Linked DNA regions of Danio rerio. The protein of the gene in region 4 interacts with the protein of the main gene of each other region in a pairwise test. Links are inferred from orthologs where the notes say so. Each region holds a gene or a part of one and is shown on either strand. Other genes may lie near its edges.

Region 1 (4,201 bases), on a different chromosome or scaffold from region 4:
ATTTTTTTTAAGCTTAAGTGGTTGAAGTTGTGCCAAATTATTTTAAAAAGTATGCTTGACTTAAAACAATCGTTTCAGTCAACTTAAAAAAAAAATTGAATTGGCACAACTTTAACCACTGAAGCTTAAACTCAAAATTTCTTTGCAGCCGGTTGCTTTACAATTTTAAGTTAACTTAGCTTTATATTTTTTTTATAGTGTATATAGACAGGAAAAAAATAAGTAGTGACTGCAGGTGGAAGTAGTGGAGTAAAAGTACCAACATTACATTAAAAATACACTCAAGAGAAAGTAAAAGTCCACATTTTTAAAACTACTTGGTAAATTACAATTTCTGAGAAAAACTACTCAATTACAGTAGTTTGGGTTTTTGTAATTTGTTACTTTACACCACAGATGCATAGACATTTTTTATAATGTTCCAACTTTCCACACATTGTAATTATCTTAAACTCACCATAATAAATGGTTCTCTAATTGTTGCTAAACCACCAAACACCTACGTGATGTCATTTCAAGAGTACATCATTATACCATACATATCATTTCCTTAAACTTGCTTTGCAAGCTGTCGTATTTTGATCACAGTAAAAAAACAGATTTTCATAGTGTTTGGCTATCTTTTCCTTGGCCAAACACACACGCATGCAAATCCCTCTCGTTCAGCCACAGCTGCTGGGAAAGAAGCCTGTGCGTCTGTTTCCTGTCATAACAAACCGGTCCATAGTCAGCAGAAACGCCACTGCTGCTTTACCCTACAAACATCCCACTTTCATTCATAACAACCATTGCTAATGTGAACTACTACACTAGCTGTGCACAGCACTTTGGATACATTGTATTGTGCTTAAATGTAATAAATAAATAAATAAATAAATAAATAAATAAATAAATAAATAAATAAAAAATGTTGTTGTGGTAGCTGTAAAAAACTTGAATGCTCATCAAGTCTAACATGCCTGAAAGTTTGAAATCGTTTACCGCTTTTGGTTAAGCGATCTGAATTGTTGTTAGGGTGTTTTAACATTATGCATTGGTATAGCATTTTTGATGCTTGCTCTGTGTTATTACAGTATTCTGCCTAGCTGTTATGGTGATTTAATGATTACTAAGCATTAATCAGTTGTTTTTCTAGGGTGTTTGCTACGCTTTTCTTAGGGTGCACTATCTACTTAGCTTTGCTAGCTGCCCTAACTACTTGCTCTATTTATCAAGCGTAGCTAGGGTGCTCTTTCTAGGTGTTAGGGTGTTTATATTATTGATAGGGTGTTCTAAGTGTTGCTAGAGTGTTCTGTCTAGTTTCTAAGGTGTTAACTGTTGTTAGGTGTAAATAGGATTTGACTACTTTCTTGGAATTGCTAGCTATTAGCTCACCAAAAAAATTAACACACTGTCATCATTTACCTACCTCAAGTGGTTCCAAACACGTTTGAGTTTATTTATTCTGTTGAGCGCAAATGAGGTTTTTACTTTGAACAATGTTGGAAACTTTTAGCAAATGGCATCTGTAGTAGGTTACCAAAACTCTAACACATTTTTTTGTATTCAACTTAATTTTTACTTAGTTTTTCTTTCTTTCTTTTGTGGGGTAAACTAACTATTGCCAAGCAGTTGATGTTCTAACTTCTTGTTGGGTGTTGCCAGGGTGTTTTAAGTGTTGCTAAGCATTGATATAACATTCTGACCACTTGCTATGTGTCCTGCATGCTTGCTAGCATCTCTGGGTGACTGTCAAAGTAGGCATTTATAAGGTCTTCAGCCAATTTGTTAATAGGGTGTACTTCCAAGTTTGCAGAATTCAGGTAAAGTTTAAAAATAAAATCACATTCTTAATTTTAACGGTCCCTATATTGTTTACCATGCTAATTTGAATATTGGCTCTGAAATTTAAGTATGGCTTCAAAACATTATTCACACATTTATTCAGTGACAACTTCTGACACACTCCCTATATTGTTTACAATGGTACTTTGAATATTCGGTCTAAAATCACCGTATAGTACGACTTGAAAACAACATAAACACTGTTTATTTGACTGTGAACAATGCTGTACTTTGATAGTCATTGTTGCTAATATGATTTCGCTATTTAGAGCCTGCAAATAATATTTTTATTAAATTATATTATTAAGGGGAAAATCCGAATGTGCGAATATAAATCCGATTTTACCTCTGTGACCCCACTTTGGGAACCACTGAACTGTACTAGTTACTAGACATTGAATGACTCACTACGTTACTAGACAGATAAGATCAGTGTCAGTGAAACAAACACAGCTGTATCTGTACTTAATTAGATGAGGTTTATTTATTTAAAATGGCATCAAATGGCGTTTAAAGCAGTGAGGTCAACCAGAAACCAACAGTAAAAACTACGCTGGAGTTTTTTAAGGGAAAAAAACATGGCTTGACAGCGCCTGATCGCTGACCTTTGAAACTTCATATCTCAGCAAAACACACTGATTCAGTGAGAAAACGACAGAGAGGTTTGATTAGTCACGTATAAAGTAGAATCAAAAGATATAAACTCTAGTTATGTGTCTGCGATCAATCTCTGTTTTAACCAGTTGATGTTTGATTACCTTACTGAAAACTTCCAAGTCATCGTCTTCATCTAGATCTAACATTTGCCCGCTCATGTCAGCAGGGATCGCGACCGAAGCATTGCCCGATGACACGGTGTTGTCGACGGCTGGTACACTCATCGCTGCTCTTATCGCTACTTTGCTACAAGTTTTCTGGACTTCATCAGTTTTTTTTTCCGCACAACTCTCAAAAAGCTCAGCTGAGGCGGAGCGGGCTCCACTGCGCAGAATCGGAAACCGCGGAACAGGGAAAGAGCCGAGAGTTGAGGCGTGTGTGGACGCCCACGTGAAGGAGTGTGTGTTTACGGTATTTGCCTCAATATTTTGATGGTTGGTTTTTGTCCAGCAGCTTGTGCCTTTAAATGTTATACGAATTTGAGCCGTGAAATAATAGCGATGAAAATAGAAAAAATGTTTTTAAGTTTATATGTCATCTGTTTACATAATTTAAAGTGCACTTTGGATAGTTATTATTATAGTATTAATGTTATGATGGTTGGTTTTTGGCCAACAGCTCGTGCCTTTGACTATTAAACGAATAAGAACCGTGAAATAACAGCAATGCAAATAAGAAAATGTTTATACGTGTAAAGGTTTATATTTACATAATTAAAAATGGACTTTGGGTAGGAAACTATATTATGATGGTTGCAGGGGCGGAGTCAGTGATTTGGGGGCCCTAAGCAATTCCAGCTATGGGGCCCAAAAGTTTGTACTTTAATTTATTCTTAATTGATTTATTTTGCTTTTTTCTTATGTCACTCAATCTCCTTTTCTATATTTTGTCTTAATGCAAAAATAAAAATAAAAAATGCGTGTATAGAATCTAAATGATTTGTCTTTTTTAAGTTTATTCACAACTAAAATAAATATAATTTTTTATAGTTTCAATTACAAATAAATTTTAAATATATATAAAAAAAATTATTACGTTTTTAAACTAAACCCTTACCTAATTTGACTGCTGGACTGCTCCATGATTGAGGGTGGGGGGAAACATTTGCGCAGAAGTAATAAAAATTAAGCTTTTATTTTTTTAGACCGTCGCTATAAAAAATATGATTGTAAACGATGTTAAAAATAATTTATAGATACAATTTACACTTCTAGGTATTTATTTAGGGGCCCTCAGATTTCCTGGGGCCCTAAGCATCCGCTTACCTTGCTAATTGGTTAAATCCACCCCTGGACGGTTGGTACAGTGTTAATGTTATGATAGCTGAAAACTGTTCCTGTTTTTAAATGCTATTTGAACCATGAAATAGGGAAACTATTTATTTTGAAGGTTTATTAAGTTTATTTACATAATTTAAAGTGCACTTTGAGTATGAAACTGTATCATGATCAGTTTTAGGATTCCAGTTTGTGTTATAATCTGTGTGCAAACAAACATTTACTGATTTTAGTTGTGGTCATGTAGGCATATATCTGTTTTTACAGTAAATGGTATTTGTTCATGGTTTTTATGTGTGAAGTAATGATTTAATTAAAATGACTATGAACAGGGTGTCCGCTGGATCTTAATGTCTTAAATTTCCAAAACAAAATTCATAAAAATGTTGTGCTGTAGGACCTACAGCACAACATTTTTATGAATTTTGTAGGACTTAAATAAT
Region 2 (4,295 bases), on a different chromosome or scaffold from region 4:
GTGTGTGTGTGTGTGTGTGTGTGTGTGTGTGTGTGTGTGTGTGTGTGTGTGTGTGTACCTCTGCGTCTCCTCCTCTCCGATCAGCTTGGGCCGCTGCTGCTGCTCCACCCTCATGATGCGCAGGATCTGATCCGCTTCACACTCCGGCAGATTCCCCCGAATCACAAATATAGAGTAACCTGCAGGAGGACAAGAGCAGCGCTGAAGCGGACACACACACACACACACACACACACACACACACACACACACACACACACACGATAATGAGTGTTACCCTCCTGCTGCAGCTGTGCGAGGAACAGGGCCAGGTATGTGTCTGAGATCAGCTCCGGACCCGTCAGCAGAGAGTTCAGGTTAAACCACTGACACACACACAAACACACAGAGAGAGAAAGAAAGAGTCAACAAACACACACCTTTCTGACCCTGAACACACACACACACACACACACACACACCTGCTGTCCCAGCTTGCGCACGGTGAACCAGTGCTCCTTATAGTTGCAGATGAAGGCCTTCTCATGCCTGAAAGACAGCAGAGGAGGATGAGTGTGTGCAGAGGAGACACACACACACACACACACACACACACATAGAGGATACAGCGCTCACACACTCACATGGGGTCCATCTGCAGCTGCTGGTACTCTCTGCTGTTGAAGAGGACGATCTCCAGACCCCACACACCCAGAGCATTGCTGATCACCTGCACACACACACACACACACACACACACACACACACACAAACACACACAGGTCTCTATAAACATTTAATTCATGTGTTCATCATCATCATCATCATCGTTTGTTTTCCACGTATTCCAGTGTTGGTTTCTGCAGCACATGTCAGAGTGAGCCGTGTCAGTGAAGCGTTCAGCAGTGTGTGCTGCTGCTGCTGCTGCTGTTCCTCTTCACCACACTGGTAAGCTGTTTATGCACTAAAGACAAACCAGTCTTAATGTGGGCAACAGTACGGGCTCTTCATGCCACACATTCTCTATTGGAGACAGGTCGGGGCTGCAGGCAGGCCAGTCCAGTGTCTGTCTCCTCTTCCTCCGCAGCAGGACTCTGTAATGCGGGTCCAGAATCTCTCTGTGCTGTTCAGCATTACTGGAGCATCACAGAAGAGCAGGTCACCTCTGCCCAGAGCACCGACACAACCCCAGACCATGACAGAGCCGGCCTGCTGCTGGTGTCAGTCTGGATGATCCTCTTCTTCTGTGGTCTGGAGCACACGGCGTCCATTTCTCCCAGAAACACCTGAAACTCTGCTTCATCTGAGCACAGGACACGTCTCCACTGTGTGATGCTCCATCCCAGACGCCCAGAGCCTAGAGAAGCGCTGCTGGACACTGTTAACATAGGGCTTCCTCCAGACTCCTTCAGTCTTTAATGCTGTTCTGCACTGCTGAAGGTGAAATCTCCACATGTCTTCCTCTGAGGATCATTGTGTTCACACACTTCACTCATATTCTCTCATATCTGTGCTCAAACTGGAGATCCTCGACTCATCTCTGCTCCTAAAGCACTAGAGCTTTCCTGATGAGCAGATCACCATCACCATCACCTGTGGACATCACATCATCATCCAGCAGATCACCTGATCACCGCCCTGTTTCTGCAGTCTGAATGACAGCAGAGGGTTCGTGTTTTCCGTCTGTCCCAGCAGCTTTGTCTGATTTGTTGTTGTAGTGTTTGTGAGGAGTAACGGGTAACTATGACTGACCTGGATGGAGAAGAAGCCGCTGTCGTCCATGTTCCCTGACGGCTGCTGCACACACAGAACACAGCAGGTTACACTGAGACCCTGAGCTCTGTGTGTGAGTGTGTGTGTGTGTGTGTGTGTGTGTGAGTGTGTACCTGCAGGAATGTGCGGTACTCCTCCGTCTGCACTCCTCCCTCCGCCATGCGCATGCGCTCCTCCTCGTCCAGCTGCTGTGCTATAGAGGAGAGCTCCACCGGGCTGAAGTACTCGCCCTGCAGCAGGTTATTCAGGCAGTGCTGCGCGCACAGAGAGCCCTCCTGCTGTAACACACACACACATACACACAGTAAACACACAACAACATCAACATCATCATCATCATCATCATCATCATCCTCCTGCTGTAACACACACACACACCATGATCATCATCATCATCATCATCATGCTGCACAGAGTACTCCTACTGTAACACACACACACACACACACACAAAATCTGTTTCACACATACACTACACACTCTTTGTCAACAAACATAAACACACACTTTCTTGCTCTCTTACACACACACTCTCACTCAGACTCTACATTTCTTTCTTTGTTTCACTCACTCACAAACTCTTTCACAACACACACACACACACACACACACACACACACACACACACACACACACCACACACACACACACACACACACACACCACACACACACATATCATCCTCGTCGTGTAAACTCTGCTCATGTCGTGTTTCCTTCAGCTCAGACACACTCTCCAGCACTCCCTCAGTCTACAGGCTCAGTGTCCTCCTCTACAGCGCTGTGTGGCGGAGTGCAGCAGTGAAGAGGAGCCGCTCTGGCGGTAAACACACATGTGCTGGACTGTCTGTCTGCCCGTGTCGGATGTTGACACTCGATAAAAGTCCACGAGCGCCTCAGAGATATCAAGCCGGAGCAGCAGACTGAACTCGACAGATCTGCCCTCCTGCAGGAGAAGCTCTCCCAGATCATCTACACATCACTCATACACAGCATTATCTGAAAGCGATTCTTACTTTTTCGTGGAATATAGACTCCATGTTTGAAAGTGTGTGAATGACGGAACTGACGGAAACAGCGACGCGTCAAAACATGTCAGAATAAGAGTCACCTAAAAACAAGCGCTCTTTGAATAAAAACTGCGGCAAGGCTGCGTTTAAAATCGACAGATTAAGATCTCCGATACACTATCAATTGAATTACACGTTTAGTCGATATAAATAATTTAGCAGGACATTTACTGATGTTACTTTCTAACCGTTCTGCTTGTCACGTGACGAATCAAAACATCAGGAACGCCGCCCAGTGGCGCGCTGCGCTACACCTCATGTGGACAGATCCTGATTAAACGCAGAACTTATTTGTTTTAAATGAGGTAATTCGATTATTTAATGTTTTTTAAAGTATTCACACTTTTGAGAACTTTGAAAATATTCACTTCAAGACACAAATGACTTTTTACTGATGTCTAGTAGATTTGTGTAAGCACAAACATCAAACAGACATCTCAGTGATGTGTGTGTGTGTCATCTGCTCAGTGATGTGTGTGTGTCATCTGCTCAGCTGCATTCACGCCAGTTTCTCTGCTCAACACATTATAGGAAGCTTGAAAACGGCTACTGTGAACCCCAACACACGCGTGTTAATGTGAATGAGGGAGTGTTTAAAGATGGAGCCTGAGCCTGGAAACACATGCAGACCCGTGAGGCAGAGAGAAACATCTTAAAATAAAACAGATCCTGCAGCAGTGGAGTCTGTCAGACATCTGCCACAGCGCTCAACACGTGTAGTCAATCAGTCAATCAGTCATCCAGAAGCAGAAATCTGGAGCGTCTGAAGGGGTTCTGGACACTGCATTGATCCGAACCACACAGAGGACAGTTTATGTCCACAGAGAGAGGGGCTCTCGATGTCTTGATCCAACACAACACTTCAGAACCATTTCAGTTCATTTCTACACTGCAAAAATGATCTTCTTAGAGTTTTTAATCTTGTTTCTGGTCCAAATATCTAAAGATTTCTAAAAGATCAGACCTCCAAGGCATTCGAGGAGGAGGATAAAAGTTTAAAAGCCTTTATTACCATTGAAATACTGACTTTCACAAGTGCGCTGCACAATCCTGCTGTTTTACAGCAATAGTCATCTCAATAGAGGCTTTTTCACTTATATTTCAGGTGCGCTGGACTGGTGATTTTAATATGCTGTGCTGGTCTAGAGAATGCTTCTTTCTTAAAGAATTGAAAGATATTTGGACCAAACACAAGACAGAAACTCTGAGTAAGTAAAGCAGTTTCTGCAGAGCATACAGTCATGAAGTTGATCCTCCACACGACTGACCTGGCCATGCAAATGCAAATGCCAAACACACCATCATTAGGAGAATTGGTTCGGGGCGGCGCATGGCAAACAGAGCAGATTCAGCGCCGCAGGATCAGATCTGTGCCATCTGACGCGCAGGGATTTATGGGTTTAGTCCAAATTGTTTTTCCCAGCGTGCAGATTAAGCAGAGCGAGCGAGCGGAGCAGAAGCCATGGGGTCCGGC
Region 3 (4,223 bases), on a different chromosome or scaffold from region 4:
AAATGATTTACACTGATTTTAAAAACTTGCCAACTCCTACCTTTTTTATCTTTTGAAATTAGCCAGTTATCTGTAAAAAAGGTGATTGAGAGGCGTCACTCACGTCTTTCCAGGATCTCTGTGATGCCAGCGTTATCTGCTTCCAACTCCATTTTAAACTTTGCCAACTCCTGATCCAACTTCCGTAAATGTCTATCAACCTACATAAGAGGCACAAGATCAACACACAACGGATTACACAAACCCACACACAAGTTCAAATGTCACTTCTCATTAGGAAAAATGTATTTAAAAACGTCTATTAAATCTCACGAAAAAGCATTAGTATGCATTTAAATAGCAAACAAAAAAGCTTCCCAGAAATCCATTGGCTTTTTACTATTAGTGATGTGCTGCCACCTACTGGGACCATACAGTACTGACACAAAGGCTAGTGTTGCTAGTTACAGTAAATTACTCACCAGGTCATAAATTTGATTGGCTAATTGGACCTTTTCATCCGCATCTTCTAAAGCTTTATAGTAGTCCTGGTAAACAGAAAGAGATCATTAGGAAAGCATATTATCTTCTAATGCAAAACTATCCATTATTAATTTTTTATCAATCATTGTTATGACTTAACCAGCAGTTGTTTCATCATGATTTCATCATTATTTCATCATTATGCAATTTAAAAAATAATAATGAAAATAAGGAAAATATTGAATAACAAATGAAATAAAAACAAAAAAATAATATATCATATCTTGCTAGTAACAAAAAATATGCACTGTCAGTTTCAGCGTAAAGATCTCATCTTATACATACAAACTTTATTATATCAGTTAAGCAAATGTTGTGCTTCACTTAGAATGTAGTTTAGATGTTTTATTAAATTAAATTGCAATATAATTTTTATTGTTCAATATATTTTGCAGCTGATTCCGGGAGTAAACAATATGGGTAACACTTCACAATAAGATTGCATTGGAAAACATTAGCTAATGCAATTACTTACTAACATTAACAAATAATAAGCAATATATTTATTACAGTATTTATTCATCTTTTTTAACATAAAATACAATTGTTTATTGCTAGTACTTGGTAACTCAGTTGATTAACTAATGTTAACAAGCAAAAGCATGGATTTTAATAACACATTACTAAACGTAGGACTATGATTAATTCATAATATGCAAATATTGTTCATCCTTAGTTAATGGTAATAAATAAATTAACTATACTGGAACTGTATTGTAAAGTGTGGTTGTAATATTTAATATCCATTCATTTTAAAATGTCATATATTGCTTTTCCCCCCCTTTTGTTTAATTTAAATTTTGAAAAGAGTCAATAAAAAGTGTCCAACCCAAAAACACTGATGGTTCAAATAAGGAAAAGCATTATCAACATTAAAAGATCTCATACTACATTATTATCACCTGCAGAACACTCAGTTCGACTGAAGTGCACATCATCTGTTCTTTACCTTTTTGATGATTTCCATCTGTTCTTCCCTCCATTCAGGCTTGTTCTTCTTGGCATTAGTAAAAAACTCATTGACCCGCTGCTCAAGCTGATCCATCGCATCTGAACAAAGGAACATGATCAAAAGTGAAGTCAAGAGCCCGACTTGGCTCACAACCACACAGATGGCGACTGTGGAAGTCTATGGTTGGTTAAAGATCTCAGTAGATCATTAAAAGGCTGTAGGTGCAACCCCTACAAAGGGTGATTCATGAATCACTGCTAAAGCTGTGGAAAAATATCCAGATCCCAATCACCACAAAATAAAATGAAATTATTTAAAACTATATAATATAAAAATATTTAACTGATGTAAATTAGGTTTATCTTAATTATAACTACAAAACTAGACTTGAATATACACATATAAACATTGATTTAATAATATTAGTCTTTCCTTATGATTTTGGTGGGAAATGTAACCGGGAAATTACATGTAATGAAAACTGTCTATAACATTTCCAAGAAGAAATGTCTTTGTGATAACTGTTTTGTAAAAATGATTTAATTAGAAATATATACATTTCTAACTAGAATGAGTACCTATGCATGTTTATGGTTGATGCAAAACCTTAATCTGTTAACAAATACATGCATTTGCTATAAGTAAACTGTGTTCCCGTGTGATGAAGACAATCAAAATCTTGTCAATGGGGGCACTGTCAGACTCTAAATTACTTGGGGTGACCAAAAAAATGCATTTCAATGCAATAATGTATCCTAAGTTTTCCCTGGTTTAGGTGACACTGGTGTTACTCAACTTCCACATGCTCTAATTGCACTTAACATCAGTGTGCAACATCACAACACATGCATGCTTTTATTATGCTTGCAAATTCACCAAACAGATCTCCACTGATATGAAAGGCTCTTTACGTTAGTTTAAGTCAGCTGTGGTGTTCTAAGGCACAAAAGTGAGTTTAAACTGAAACCGTACTCTGCACTTGCAGGTCCATCTCTCTCATTTCCGTAAACCTGTCGCGGAGATCCATGGGTAGCTGCTCGATCACTGCCGGGAAGAAGAACAACCGCGTTACAAGCTAACGGATGTGACAGCAAAACACGCCCTAAACCACCCTCTAAAACACCTACTTACGATAATACGAACATATATAGATAAAAGAGCTGTTTTACTCACTTTCGAGGTAGTCCTCAAGGTACAACATTCTGGCGGAGATGGTTTTTCGGAGGTTTCAGAGAAAGGGTGTTTTTCGGCAATATGGCGTCGCGGGCAGCGGAGAACTGAAGGGGAGGAAAAAACACAAGCTGGCGGGGGAGGGGCTTACGTGAAGGGCGTGGGATCTGATTGGACGATGGTGGAGTTGCGCGGAAGCTGCACTCTTTATGAAAATCGTTTTTATGGAACTTGTAGTTCTTTCAGTTGAAACTACGTCAAGCGCATTGTGGGATGTCCAACGCAATCTGCCTTTTGTAACTTTTAGTACTTTGTACATTTTAGTACGATTTGCTCATCTCCCAATAAGAGGTAGGTATATATATATAAATAAATAAATAGATAAATAAATAAATAAATAAATAAATAGCCATTTTCGTTCTGTTCTAAACATACTTGTTTACATTAGATATTATATCACGTAAATATAATTGTTTAGACACAATTGTTTAACAGATAAATTCATTTTTTAAATAAAACTGACATAACAGAAACGTTCAATCTTTAAGAAAATAAAAAAGCATATAAAGCAAATAAAGTAACTAACATGTAAAATTAAAGTAAATTTCCACAGAGATAAAGGCTATATCATTTATTGGCCACATAAACATTACTTAAACATATTTCACTGATTTTAAGACAAAAACTTGTAGATTATTTTATAGTAGCATTCTTTTTGAATACATTTTCATTTACAAAAGAATGATTATGTATAACATGAAGAGAAAGATGTAAATGATAAATAAAGCATGCAGAGTATAAAACATTGCAGTAATACAATCAAAAAAGTCAATTTTACACTAATAATTGTTTCAAGTACATTTTACATACTTTTGAAATATATGTTTTATCATTAGAAAATCTGTAGTTTAATTTGTAAATCAGGTATGTCCAAACTCGGTACTGGAGGGCCGGTGTCCTGCAGGATTTAGCTCCAACTTGCCTCAACACACCTGCATGGATGTTTCTAGAAAGCCTAGTAAGAGCTTGATTACCTAGCTAAGGTGTGTCTGATTGGGGTTGGAACTAAACTTTGCAGGACATCGGCCCTCCAGGATTGAGTTTGGACACCCCTGTTGTAGATCAGTAGCAGTGTTAAAGAAGTTACTAAATTGTATAACTTATAGAAATAATTCAAATGTTTTGTGTCTCTTAATTTTGTATCCTCATGGTTATTAGAGACATAGAAGACTAGTTTGAAGACTGCAGGTTTAATGCAGCTTTGGCCTTTGGAGGGCAGCACTGACTGCAATATTTAATGACAGTTCTGGCAACTTAGTGCTTCTGTCTGTGTGTAAGAGGCTTTTGCACAACAGTGGAAGACAATGTAACTGCCCAGCTGTCTCTGGAGAGGAAGAAACCTCAGCCTGACCCCACGTTTATTGTAGACAGTTATGATTTGGTTCAGTCGTGGTGTAAGAGGCTTTTATAAAACATCCCATTAAAACCCTTTATTTCCAAGACAGAATTACCGCACAGCTGTAGACATGAACTGTTCTGCAAAGTGACATTGCACCTCTGCGCTCAATTTAGATCAAAT
Region 4 (4,194 bases):
AATGCATCTAAGGTTTCTTGTGTAAAAGTCACAAATTGTACTGTAAAATGTTGCTATAAATGTCCAAAATATTATTAATTATATAGCTCTATTGCATTAGCACATTTTATAATATATTAACTATATACACATTTATATAATTATTTATTTTTAACAACATATTAACAAAATCTGCATCTATTAATTGACATTTTGCATAATTAATTGATTAAATTTAATAATGTTTATACTAAAATTATTGTACTATCGTTAAATTATGTTTTTTTTTTTTTTTTACAATTGTTTGTCTTCTTTATACTAGTAGAAGCCAATATTCTCGACACCAGTGGTGCTCAACCCTGTTCCTGGATATCGACCTTCCTGCAAAGTTCAGCTCCAACCCTGATCAAACACACTTGAACCAATTAATTAGGACCTGAACAGCACTTGATAATTACAGGCAGGTGTATTTCATATGGGTTGCAACTGAAATCTGCAGGGAGGTCGAACTTCAGGAACAGGGTTGGTCACACCTGCTCTACACTTACCAATTTTTACAGACTGTTCAAAAGTGGAAAGGAGCGTAGCTGCAGTAATGGTGGCTGAACATCGTTATGAAATTAGTCTGCCAAAAGAATGCTCAATATTCATAGCTGAAGCCTGTGCTTTACTTTTACTTGGAATATATAGAAAATGTCCAACAAAAGAATAATTTTTCAGACTCCAAATCATGCCTCCAAGTGACGGAATCTTCAAAAAATGATCATCCTTTCATTGATAATGTTTAACTAAAGTTCACCATCTACAAAACCAGTTTTGTCATACCATTTTTTATTGGGTTCCAGGACATCTTGTACTTTCAGGAAATGAGTGAGCTGATGTGGCTGCTAAGGATGCTTTGAAACAAGTGGTGAACAAATGCCAGAGATGAGACATTTTATCAATGTTTACATTTTAAATAAGTGGCAAGAGGAGTGGGATGCATTGGAAAATAACAAATTGTATGAAATACAACCTAAAATCTCACGCAAAGTTTTAAGACATTTTAAAACTAGACTTGGTTAAACACTAAACATCTTATTTAATTTATGTACAAATTTTTGTTCATATTTGATTGGATACTTGTAACTGAAATGTTCTTGCCATGACAATAGCTTTAATTGGTGACATGGCATTAAATTAAAATATATACTGGATTTAGTGATTCAGGGGCCCTAAGCAATTCTGGGTATGGGGCCCTAGCACTGAAACTCAAAACATTCTCTTATACATTTTTTTTCTCTGTAGATTATTATTATTGTAAATAAACAGCATGTTAAAGTATTTAAATAAATAAATATATATAAAAAGTATATAAAAAAGTATATTTTCTATATTTTTATATTTACTGGAAGCTTTTTCTTTTTTATTTAAAATTAAATGTAATACATTCACAAATAAAAAAAAAAAACAAGTAATTTGCAACTATTTAAACTAAATGAGCCATTTTGGTGAAAAGATTTTGATATAAGTAAATAAAAAAGTTTTAACAAATTTAATTCACGATCATTTAAGTTAACTGAATAATTGCTGTTTGTGAATCGGCAGCCGTTCATTTTCACTGAGCAATGTTATTTTATTTGAACAGACTCTATACACAGATTTTACAACATATGATTTAAAAAATGTATAAACGAGATATATGATTAATATAGGCTTCTTGGCATTGGTCAGGGACCCATAATTCCCTGGGGCCCTAGGCGGCTGCTAACTTTGATTATTGATTAAGTCCGCTCCTGCTAGTATGTTCATTTGTGCGTCCATAAAAGGCTAATTTAAACATGTTTAAAATTGTATTAACTACATTGACCAATTATTTTAATTTATTAAACATTTCTACATTTCCCAGACTACAGATTGAAACCCCCAACAGTATTAAATAGATACTTAATACAGGCAAGTAAAATCATTATTAATTATAATTATTAGGCCTAATTAATACATGTATTATTATTTAAAAAAAAATCTAATTTATATTAAAGTTAATAAAACAAAAGACTAATACAAGGACAGACCTTTGGCCTTCTGCTCTTCTGTAATTGAGGTGCCAACACGTTTGGTGACAGCCCAGTTCCACAACTGGATGGCGATTTCCTCCAGCTACAAAAACAACTAAATTATTAAATATTGAACCACAATTACCTGATTTCTGTGTAAGATGTTAACTTAAAATACGAAATAATATATATTTATGTCGAGAACAAAATAAAGACGTCATGTCTTCAAAACACAACGCTACAAGATCCCTGGGGGCTTCCGTAGATTTCAAAAGAAGTGTATTTTCCACACCTGTGAATCCTGTAGTTTTGCAGCTTCATCTAGAGTTAAAATCTCCTTGAAGAGGGAATCAATCACTTCATCCAAGTCTGAATGGCTCTGTCTGTGGAGGAGTTTCTCTGACAGGTCTGTGAAAGGAACGTCAAACCACGAAATATCTTCACATAACCTGTTAAATTACTTACAAAAGGTAAGTTGAAACTGTTATTTGTCATTATATTAATATCACTTAAAATATGTAAGATAAATAATTGTTTTGTAAAAAAACACAATAGCTCATCTCATAGTAAATACACAATAGCGTATCTTTTATACATTGAATTGACTGGTACCACATATCTTTCTTTTACCGCAAACGTACCTTTTACTTCGACAGCAAACTGCTCCATATTATATTTTGTGTATCTAAAAAATCTGAAGTAATTTTAAAAGGTTGTATTTTGTATGAAGTTTCTGTGTGACTGGAAAAAAACCAACGCTGCCCCTCGCGACCGCTCCCCGCCAAAACACGCACGAGGACGCGCTTCAGCCGGAGTGTAATACCGCTGAGTGACCGCAAGGTGGTGTCTCACACACGGTTTTTAACTTGCTGTTACTCATCATGTCTCCCTAAAATATTTCATTCAGGTTCACACAATTTATTTGGCGTGGTGAAGCCAAGATTAATAATCCAGCCTCATTAATATTAACAACTACAATCATTTTGCTATTTGGACATCACTCATATGCTATAAAATTGCATGTGTCTGTATATAATAACTGCTATTTGATTGTAACTTAAGTAACTGAGGTTTACTTAATTAAAGTAATGCAATTATGTGATTGTAATGCAAAAATGTGCATCTTTTGTAAAGCTGCATTGAAACAATAATTACTGTAAAAAGCTCTGTACAAATAAACTTAAATTTAATATTTAGTTACATTATAGCGCACAATTTCCACTATATTAAATGCACTTTTATTATAAATAGTAATAGAATATAAAAATGAAATATAAAAGCCTCAGAAACAAGCGCTCTAAATAATATTTTAAGATAAATGGAGAACTAGGCCTGCTCTTTTGATATTCAGAATTTCCGTGTTGAAAGGTCTGGCCCATTACATAGTATAATAGCATTGTTTAAACATAATATTCATCACCTTCTGCTAGTTAAAACCTCATTCACCCCAAAGAAAGTATGTGCTGATAACGCTGAGCTTTTTGTTTTAACAGGGGAGGTCATTGTTGAGCTGAAGGAAAGAGCTCAAGCTGCGTACACAGAATGGTTTGTGAAGTCTCTTATTGTGTTCACGGCACTAGATTCAAAAATAAGATGTCTTAAAAGCCCACTCCTCTGCATGCTCGGCTTCCAGCAATTGTTTCTGCCTGAGTCTTATCTAGCCACCGTACTGGTCTGAGGGAAATGTGATCAGTTCAGAGGGCTTGATTGCACAGGAGAACGAAAAAAACAAACATGATCCTTGTGACATGCGGTCAGAGAGATGGACACAAGATTTCCTAAAGTCTGCAACATAAATAATATTAAAATAATAATAAACAGGCGTATTTATACATCTGTGCCAGGTTTAAAAATATTTCATCTCACAGTTAGACTTGGGTATGAAAGGTCAATGCTAGGCCGAATATTGTGTATTCGAGAAATATCTCTGTAAAACATCTGCTGCCAAACCTGAAGACATAACCTGAAATGTATTGTCTATAAATGCTTTGGGAAAAAAAGAAAAAGGTAAAAAATGACTAGCTTTTATTTTACAAGAATTTATCTCTTAATCTTTCTAATTCAAAAACTAAATGTTGCAATTTACTGCATAATACACTTTACATGGTGGCTTTTATCAGCATTTAAATCTGCATTTAAATCTGTTAACATTAAATACCAATGAACATCTGTAATCTAA

What was found. The genes of interacting proteins can lie anywhere in the genome.
Region 1: the proteins of tex11 (region 4) and snx7 interact in binary tests that used the Homo sapiens proteins (3 or more experiments, as listed by UniProt). The two-hybrid records come from large-scale screens. The link is inferred for Danio rerio from reciprocal best matches to the Homo sapiens genes TEX11 and SNX7.
Region 2: the proteins of tex11 (region 4) and atxn3 interact in binary tests that used the Homo sapiens proteins (3 or more experiments, as listed by UniProt). The link is inferred for Danio rerio from reciprocal best matches to the Homo sapiens genes TEX11 and ATXN3.
Region 3: the proteins of tex11 (region 4) and ing3 interact in a two-hybrid assay, tested with the Homo sapiens proteins (2 studies listed by BioGRID). The two-hybrid records come from large-scale screens. The link is inferred for Danio rerio from reciprocal best matches to the Homo sapiens genes TEX11 and ING3.

Annotation. Positions count from the first base shown.
Region 1 is NC_133199.1:34,413,206-34,417,406, forward strand, and holds the start of snx7 (sorting nexin-7), read right to left. Parts: upstream 2,810-4,201; 5' UTR 2,706-2,809; coding exon 2,583-2,705; intron 1-2,582. UniProt on the Homo sapiens protein: Involved in the regulation of endocytosis and in several stages of intracellular trafficking. Together with SNX4, involved in autophagosome assembly by regulating trafficking and recycling of phospholipid scramblase ATG9A.
Region 2 is NC_133192.1:59,465,276-59,469,570, reverse strand, and holds the start of atxn3 (ataxin-3), read right to left. Parts: upstream 2,810-4,295; 5' UTR 2,792-2,809; coding exon of another isoform or gene 2,768-2,791; 5' UTR 2,458-2,767; coding exon 2,425-2,457; intron 2,031-2,424; coding exon 1,866-2,030; intron 1,777-1,865; coding exon 1,732-1,776; intron 710-1,731; coding exon 624-709; intron 529-623; coding exon 462-528; intron 366-461; coding exon 278-365; intron 180-277; coding exon 59-179; intron 1-58. Other genes in the region: gamma-aminobutyric acid receptor subunit rho-1, read left to right, coding at 4,063-4,295. UniProt on the Homo sapiens protein: Deubiquitinating enzyme involved in protein homeostasis maintenance, transcription, cytoskeleton regulation, myogenesis and degradation of misfolded chaperone substrates.
Region 3 is NC_133179.1:11,169,874-11,174,096, reverse strand, and holds the start of ing3 (inhibitor of growth protein 3), read right to left. Parts: upstream 2,810-4,223; 5' UTR 2,676-2,809; coding exon 2,648-2,675; intron 2,519-2,647; coding exon 2,447-2,518; intron 1,573-2,446; coding exon 1,472-1,572; intron 528-1,471; coding exon 462-527; intron 201-461; coding exon 104-200; intron 1-103. UniProt on the Homo sapiens protein: Component of the NuA4 histone acetyltransferase (HAT) complex which is involved in transcriptional activation of select genes principally by acetylation of nucleosomal histones H4 and H2A.
Region 4 is NC_133189.1:37,595,492-37,599,685, reverse strand, and holds the start of tex11 (testis-expressed protein 11), read right to left. Parts: upstream 2,808-4,194; 5' UTR 2,685-2,807; coding exon 2,657-2,684; intron 2,486-2,656; exon of another isoform or gene 2,424-2,485; coding exon 2,308-2,423; exon of another isoform or gene 2,253-2,307; intron 2,119-2,252; coding exon 2,034-2,118; intron 1-2,033. UniProt on the Homo sapiens protein: Regulator of crossing-over during meiosis. Involved in initiation and/or maintenance of chromosome synapsis and formation of crossovers.